Ovis aries: one gene and its partner. The protein of the gene in region 1 purifies or fractionates together with the protein of each later gene. This does not show direct contact. Links are inferred from orthologs where the notes say so. Each region holds a gene or a part of one and is shown on either strand. Other genes may lie near its edges. The genes, in order: SLC7A14 and GOLM1.

Evidence for each region.
Region 2: the proteins of SLC7A14 (region 1) and GOLM1 purify together in Homo sapiens (co-immunoprecipitation; 3 studies listed by BioGRID and IntAct, with this or other methods). This does not show direct contact. The link is inferred for Ovis aries from reciprocal best matches to the Homo sapiens genes SLC7A14 and GOLM1.

Annotation. Positions count from the first base shown.
Region 1 is NC_056054.1:217,550,089-217,554,551, forward strand, and holds the start of SLC7A14 (probable cationic amino acid transporter), read left to right. Parts: upstream 1-1,440; 5' UTR 1,441-1,667; intron 1,668-4,463. UniProt on the Homo sapiens protein: Imports 4-aminobutanoate (GABA) into lysosomes. May act as a GABA sensor that regulates mTORC2-dependent INS signaling and gluconeogenesis. The transport mechanism and substrate selectivity remain to be elucidated.
Region 2 is NC_056055.1:33,768,394-33,772,204, reverse strand, and holds part of GOLM1 (Golgi membrane protein 1), read right to left. Parts: coding exon 3,545-3,811; intron 1,971-3,544; coding exon 1,857-1,970; intron 1-1,856.

The DNA of each region.
Region 1 (4,463 bases):
TGATTCTTTAACTCTATGCCTTTCCTGCAAAGTTCCACAGCTTCTTGGGTATCCTAGAAGATCTGATATACCCTGCATAAGCTCAAATGAAGGAGATATCTCAATACTTAACACCTGGATTCTGGTCCAAAACAGTAATAAATTTAAGCTAGGTTGACTTTCCCAGACTGTCCTGGCACTGATCAGTCATTTTTCTGGAGAGAACCCAGGTCCACTAGCTAGAACCCACAATCGGAAGGTACATTTGACTGCTCCATGCTAGGAAAGAAGTGTCAGACAGTCAACATTCTTCTCAATCAGAAGCCCAGTGAATGTGTTTCCAAGGATGGGGAGTTACATCTCATTAGTTCCCATATATTTTGAAGGCCTGGACCAAAGATCCAAGATTATGTAGGTACTGTCCATCTAAAGCAGTCTTTTCAACGCATAGTAAATAATTCATTCTCTGATGAGGCCAAACATGCCTCAGTTTGTACTACATAGTCCTCATCCTTTTGAGACATAACATAGTTCTCAATAGAACCAATGAAAAACTATAAGCCCAGTAAATTGCTTTTCTCCTTTCATACATTATCTGTCAAGCCTGAATGCACAGATACCCCTTTCTAAGTTTACAAAAGATACTTCCATTCTACTGGTGCAAATCACAATCTCCTTGTTTCTGAAATTTATTTTAACAGAGAGGGGGGAAGGACTCCCATTTATTGAGTTCTAAATACGTTAGGCAACTTTAAGAATATTACCATTTTTAATTCTCATAATAGTTCTGTGAAAGGGTCATTTCACAGATGAGAGAAGAAAGGCTAACAGAAGTTAGATACTCCCAAGGGTATCTATTTTTGGTATGGACCAAAATTCCTCCTCAGTCTTCACATCTCAAAGCCTCAATCTTTTCTACTCATTAGATGTTGAGAATCCAAAGATAAACTTAGTCTATTGGAGAAAGAGGAAGGTCTTGTCCTTTTTTTAGGAGGGGAGGGGAAATCAATCTCCCCCATCCTTTCCTTTCAGTAATGCTGAGGGAGGTGGAAGAAATTTAAGAGCAGCAAGGGCTCGGTGAAGAAGGGGGAAGCTTCCAGAGGGCAGGAACCAGGTCTGGGTAGCCAGCTTTGTCCAATGTCAAGTCCAGCAGAGGTGGAGCTTCTCGCAGAGGCTGTGCATTCGCAACACATCAACACTGCGGAGTCCTGCCTGGTCCTTTCCCAGGGCGGAGAGCTGCCAGCATCTCTTCCCCTCAGCCTCACGTAGCATGAGGTACTGGAAGCAGCACCTGGGGGCTTAATAGGCCAGGTAGTTGAGAGCGGCAGATAGCAGTGTGTGTGTGTGTGTGTGTGTGTGTGTGTGTGTGTGTGTACTGGGGCTGGGGGGGGGGGGGGGGGGGGCGTCTGGTGAGAGGCTTCTGCTCGGTAATGTAAGGGGTTGGGCAGCACACGTGACTCCAGGAAGGCGGAGACAGGCTAGCTGGAGGGAGGACTGCGAGGCCGCGGGGAGGGTGCAGATAGAGGGGCAATCTGAATAATTGAGGAGCTGTTCGGCAGTGGCGGCTGCCTCCTGCTTTCCTTTGCCGCCACCACCCCGCATCACGGGAGAAGAGACAAACCCGGCGCTGTAAGTGAGGACCGCCAGCCATCAGCCCCGGCAGCCAGTTCATCACCTCCAGCCCTCCGGTGAGTGAACGTCCCCCTGTCGCTGTAGTCTGTCCCCCTCCGTGGCCCCTGCATCCCAGCTGTAAAATGGGATGATCACCTCTTGTTGAATGAACCAGCGAGCCAGAGCCACCCGGAGCGGGTAAGCAGGAACATGGCGCGGAGGCTGAGGGCGCCCTCCGGGAAGGGGTCTCCTAGAAGGAAGGACGGAGCCGGGTCGGGGTCTCTCCGGCTCTGGCCTGCAATGGGGCCTGGATAGCATCCAGGGTGGGGGGACGCCGGGCTCCAACTGCGGGGCTGCCAGGCAGGTCCGGCCCGCGGGAGCTAGAGGCGGAGGAGGGAGCCGTGAGCAGCTTTCGGGCCGCCCAGGTCTCCACAGACGCCGGGCCCGTCCTGTCCCCCCGCACCTTGGTTCGCGCAGCTAGGTTTTCTCGGCGTCTGAAAGAGTCCAACGAGAGAGAGAGAGATGCTTTTCCGGCCGAAGCCCGAAGGACGGGCGGGAACAATGTCTCCCCTTTTACATTAGAGCAAACTCTTCAAAGGGACTCTATCTGACCCAGGTGACCTGACAAGGCCATGCGCTCGCAGGGGCATCTGTCCCCAGAGACCGGTGACACACCGGGGGCGACGAGGAGGACGTGATGAGTGAGGTGTCAGGGAAGCTCCCTGAACAGAGGGGGCAACCCTGGGGAGAGGACTCTCACACTTACACCTAAGTCAGAGCCCGCCCCACTTCCCCATCCCAAAGCACATCAGCGTCCTAAGAATTCAAAGGGCCAGAGTAGGGCAGTGTAGCCTCGCCGGACGCAGCCACAACCTCCTTCTAGCTCTTGAGTCAGCCCCCACCCTTCCCCTCACACACAGGTATTTTGTATTGCGATTGAAAAGTAAGACAGAAGTCGCCGAATGCCTAGAAGTAAAGTGAAAGGCGGAAAAAAGGTGCAGGAATGATGGAAAAATAGAGCCCTCATGGGCTCCTGGCACTCCCCACCCCACCGCCTATGCTGACTTCGGTTCTTGGAGGTCTTCAACCGAGAGGTGAAAAGGAACCGGCTCTTAGGAGGTATTCTCACCGTAGTGGCAGGGCCGGTCTCTGGCCAAAGTTGGCCAAGAAACCCAGAATGACATCCCACCTCCCCTCCCCCAACCCCACTCCGACCAGAGCCCCCTCCAGGAAGGGGTTCCGGGAGAATGCCAGTCCTGAGAGTGGGCCACAGACAGGACAGCGGGAGCTGTCCGCGGTGCTGAAAGTTCTGCAAAGCGGCGAGATAACACCGCCGAGGGACTGGAGGCTCATTGCTTGCCAACATTTTTCTCCAAAGCAGAAACTGTGTTAGAACCTCGTAAAGGAAGTCAAGTGGATCAAGTGACCTAGAGAGAGGGGCAAAGGTGCTATGCATTCCCCGTTTCTCTGCCTTCCCACCCCACACCCCACCCCCACCCCTAGATTCCCCTTGGAAGCAGGTTTTCCCCAGTGCTGGGTTGAGGAGCAAGGAGCGGGTGTCACTCTAGGATCCAGCTTTGCTAACTTGAATGGGAACGAATGTGGTGCCTCATTCTGTTTTCTCTGCCTGCGCTGTGAATCTTCCTGTTGGTGAAGTGTTGGAAACACAGTTAGGGTTGTTGTTCTGATAAACGCTACTGTGGCTTTCAAGAACCAGAGAACTGTGAGGCTGCACAAGGGAAGAGGCTTCATTAACAGAGAGACTAACTAGGCTTTCTATTCCTGGCTGAGTTTTTTTTTTTTTTTTCTCTTCAGCACCCTCTCTCTCCACCACGCATTATCTACAATGTAAATTTTACATCCTCTGGATACAGATCTCTAAGCAGTCTTGTATGTTTCTTTCAGAGTCTTTTACATTATGGGCTAGATGAGGAGTGAACTAAGCCAATTTCAGAAGGCCAAGTTAAGAGACTATTTACTTTAAAAAAAAAAAAACCCTACTATTTGCTGGGCCATATCATCTCATTTAAGCTTCACAATAGCTGCTAACCAAATGTATCACAAAGTTTAGAAAACTGAAGTTATGTATCTCAAATCCAGAGCTTGGATTCAAATTCAAGTCTGCTTAACTCTGAAATCCAAGCTATTTTCATGCCCTTATTTTGGCATTGACTTTGGGCAGTGGTTACTGGAGACTATAGCAAGAATTTGTCAAAGGTAGAGGACCAGCTTTGCTTTTCACAGACACTACTGTCTCTTCCAACCCTTTCCTCTTTAATCTGTTCACCCACCCACTGTCACTAACTCCCACCATACCAACTGCTTTTGTGCATGCTGCTTGAGATACCACTGTTCACACACTAGAGCTTCAGGATAACAGAACCGTGATAGAGGAATAAAATGGCAGGCTTTCCTGAAGAACAGCAAGGCTTTGGGGAGTCTGGAGGACTAGATCCCACTTGTGCTTTCCTATTTAGAATTCTACCCTGGAGTTATAGGGCTGGAAAAACCTTCAAGACCATTAAGCATCATTGTTTTGCAAAAAAGAGAATTTGAGAACCAAAAGATGCTTATTAGTCTAATGCACATGACTGAAAAGTTAGGACTGGAATCCAGTTGACCTGACTCCAAGGCCAGTGCCCTTTCCACTACTCCCATGATGCATCAAATATTTTTCCATGCCTTCTCTAATTATCTTTGACAAGAACATCAGCAGGACTGAATTATATTCAGTAATTTGTTGGTTTTGTTGTTGTCATTTAGTTGCTAAGTTGTGTCTGACTCTTTGCCACCCTATGAACAGTAGCTCACCAGGCTCCTCTGTCCATGGAATTCTCCAAGCAAGAATACTGGAGTGGGTTGCCATTTCCTTC
Region 2 (3,811 bases), on another chromosome or scaffold:
TGGGGAAAACCTCACTGGCCAAAGAAGGTGGGATAATGTGAACTTCAAAAAAGATTATAAATGCAACTGAATGAAACCCATCAAAAAGGTTTAAAAGTTTATATTTTCAAATGGTCACCTTCAAAAAGTCAAAGGAAATAATTCCTTATTGTGAAAACTGGTAAAGAAAAAGAAGCATTTATCCTGCCTATGAACAATACCATGACTTGTCTGTTTACAAAATATTTCAACTAACAAATGAAATAGGAATGGCTGAATTAAAATACCACCTCCAGATATCAGCTGGTGATCTGCATGAAATAGGGAGGAAAGAAGAACACACTAAACCAAACCATGAACAGAACCATGAAATACACAATCAACACTCTCCAGACTGTGGTCAAACAGCAATGGCTGGCTGGATGAATGGATGGAAGGAAGGAAGGGAGAGAAGACTTGTAAATTGAAACTTAAACACATATCAAATATAATAAAATGGGCAAGACTAAACTATGGCATCCAGGGATGCCCACTTGGGTGATAAACCCATAAAGAAATTCAAGAAAATGCTGAATGGAAAGGTGAGGACAGGTATTTCAGTACAGGGAGGGAAAGTGCTAGGACAGGAAGGGCAACAAAGAAGGAACTTCCTGAAGCCAAGTTCTGTTTCTTGAATCAGGAAGGCAGGGTGCAGTTAAAAAATGTTTAACTTCTAACAACTCATTTGTTTTGTGTGCTTTCCTCAATCTGATTTACTTCATAAAACCAGAAGAAAAATCTGAAAGTATACTGAACAACAACAACAAAAAAATGTGTGAATTCAACTCTAAATGAGAAAACTGTGACTCCATATCTATAGGCAAAAAAAGACATAAAAATGTTTAAACCTTTCACATGGCAAAAAACCATAATCAAAATCAAGATAAACTGCTAGGTAGTATTGGCAACCAACATCACAGATAAAGGCCAACCACCCCAGCATATAAAGAACTCTTAAAAACTGAGAAAGAAACACCAAGAGTTTGATGGAAAAATGAACTTTAAGAAAGGAAACCTTGAGTCTACAGTGAAACTAAAACAAGGGAGAGAGAGTACGTGTGCTTGTGTGTGTGTGTAAATGTATACACATTGGGGGTGAGGGAGTCCTTAAAGAATGACAGCTTATCAGTGTGTGGAATGACCATCCAGACCACGGTTTTCAATGGACAGCAAAGTCAACCATTGCACAGCATCCCCCTCTGTAAGACATGTTAGTTACACAGGGAAAGTGGACCTTTGCAGCAGAGAGACCTCATGGGTACCACCTTAACCAAGGATCAGCCTGCCATCCCGTGCCTCCTGGTGTGAAGCTAGAAGAACATAACTGCAGCTATTAAAAAAAAAAAAAAAAAAAGTTCAACCAGAATCCAATCACAAGGAGATGAATCCAGAATCTGAGCATCCCACAGGCCTAGACTCATCAAAAGTTCAAAATAACAGTAATACAAAGTAACTCAGAGTGCTACTATAAAAACTTGCCTGTGTACACATCACAGCATTTCGACTAGTGCTGTGAAATGATCATGCGGTGACCTACCATTTGGAAGGGAAATTCCTAAACTTCACTGAAGCATATCCGCACTGACCCCTGAGGGACTGATGCTCATGTTCATGTATGCAGACTTTCTGAAAGGTCCTCGTTATGGCCTCCTGAAACTGTCACCTCTCTCCACTGCCGCTACACTCCAAGACTTCGGGAGAAAACAATCTTCTAATTAGGGATTACTTACAACATTATTGTTGGGATTCAGTACACAGTCATACCAAAAGTGAAGGGCCACAAATCAGACACGAAAGGTGACCCCCTCCGCCCAACCACCACCACCACTGTTAATTACCATTTCTGCTTTTGTCATTCCCTGCAAGGGCTGCCTGCTTGTCTGCTTCAGATTCTGCCTCATTCTCATCCATGTTGTAGTCATCATCAGCTCCCAGTTTCTGCTGATTTCTCCCTGAAAAATGAGCACAGAGCCACAAAACATAGCTACATCATTTCTCTCTCAATGCCATGGGAACACCAGAGTCCGGGTGCTAGGGTCATCCCAACCCTGGTTTAACAATCAGCTCTTTCTGCTTCCTCTAAGGAAATGACAGGGACTCATGTGCTTGCTCCCAGTGCAAAGACCATGCAGGATTTCTCTACTTATGTATGCCCCACTCCAACTTTGAATCTATTTAAAATATGGCCCTAAATAAAGAGCTTCATTCCAGGCTGGAATCAGGGTAACTAGTTCACCAAACGAAATTCCAGTTTTTTAAAGAGATAATCAACTCAACGTTAAAGGAAGGCATCACTGTTTGGAAACAGGTTTCTGGTTAATGGAGGTATCTGCTTAAAATGGTTCACTGCCCTGAGAGAAGGAAATGGAGTAGCTATTGTGAGTCAAAGGGTAAAATTTTTCCATCAAACATACAGAATTAGCTCATTTATCACTGCGTTCATCCCCAGAGAGAAGAGCAACCAGAAAAGATCAGGACAGGATGCAATCAAGAGACATACTCAGAGGGTTACTGTAAACATTTCATATCTGTATAAACAAGATCTTTTGTTTAAAAAGCATGTCTGGAAAAGTCAGCTCTAGTTCTATATCCCTGCACTAACTGCCTGAAGAGGAAACAAAGTCCAGGCCTGTGTGCCATGTGGCTTTATCCTAATAATCAGACCATTACAGCTGACCTTGAACAAGGTGTGACATGTAGGCCCCCACAGTAGCTCAGGCCTTCTGGCAGCTGTTAAACCCTGTGACCAACTGCTGAGTGAGCTGAAACTTGAGTGCCACTCTGATCAGCCCCCCAGAGTGTCATTTTTTTCTTTTTCCCTCCCCAATTATTTAACAGAAAACTTGTAAGAACGTACTCTTCAGAAAATCGGGGTAACTTCTGCCAGTAAGTACTATCCCCACCTTCTATCACTTTATCAGGCTCAGCACACAGGTGTCTTCTAAGCGCCCCTGGCTTAGCTAGGATTAAAATGTCTTCCATCTTTCAGGGACCAAGATACATCCCAGAATATTCTGCTCATCTCAGTTTCCCACACTTTTCTTTAAAAAAAAGAAGTCAACCAAACCAGAAAGGTGAGATTCCCACGTCACTTTTCTGCAACGCTCAAACAAGCATGACCCTCCATCTATCTGATCCTTCCATCTGTCCTTCCTTCCTCCTTCGGTTCACCAGGCACTGCCAGTGACATGGCAGGAGGAGATGGAGTGACAAGGAAAATGTGTGGGCTCTGCCTGCCAGGAGACCTATGTGGACTCTATGCTCAGCTCCCATCCAAGGTCTTCCACCTGGAAAGCCCTCTAGGCTCCCTGTGAAAATGATTTCTACAAGTTCCAAGTGCTAGGAGTGCCTGGCCGTTCTGTCTTGCCTCCTGCCTGACAATGGAACCAAACAAACAGAACGAACTACCAAATGGCACTCTGCTGGTTGGTCATCTTCATGGGTGTCTGTTCTGCACCAGGAAGGACATGGTGGGGGCTAGTGCCTGATGCAGAGGAGTGGGCAGTCCAGGGAGCCTCTCACCCACCTTCCTCGTCGGCATCCTGCCTCTCCTCCTGTCCGTCGCGGACGACGAGCTGGTCCCGTTCAGGGCCCTCCACCTCTTGATTCTCCTGGCTGGCCAGCAGGGCAGCTGGGACCTGTGGGATTTGGCCCAGCTCTCCAGGTTCTCCATTGCCTTTTCCACCCACTTGTCTGTCTCCTTCCACCGCCTGTTCTTGGCCTGGCTCCTTCGGCAGTGCCAGGCTGTCCCTCTGAAGCTCCTCCTCACTGACGACTTGAATTTCCTTGGCTT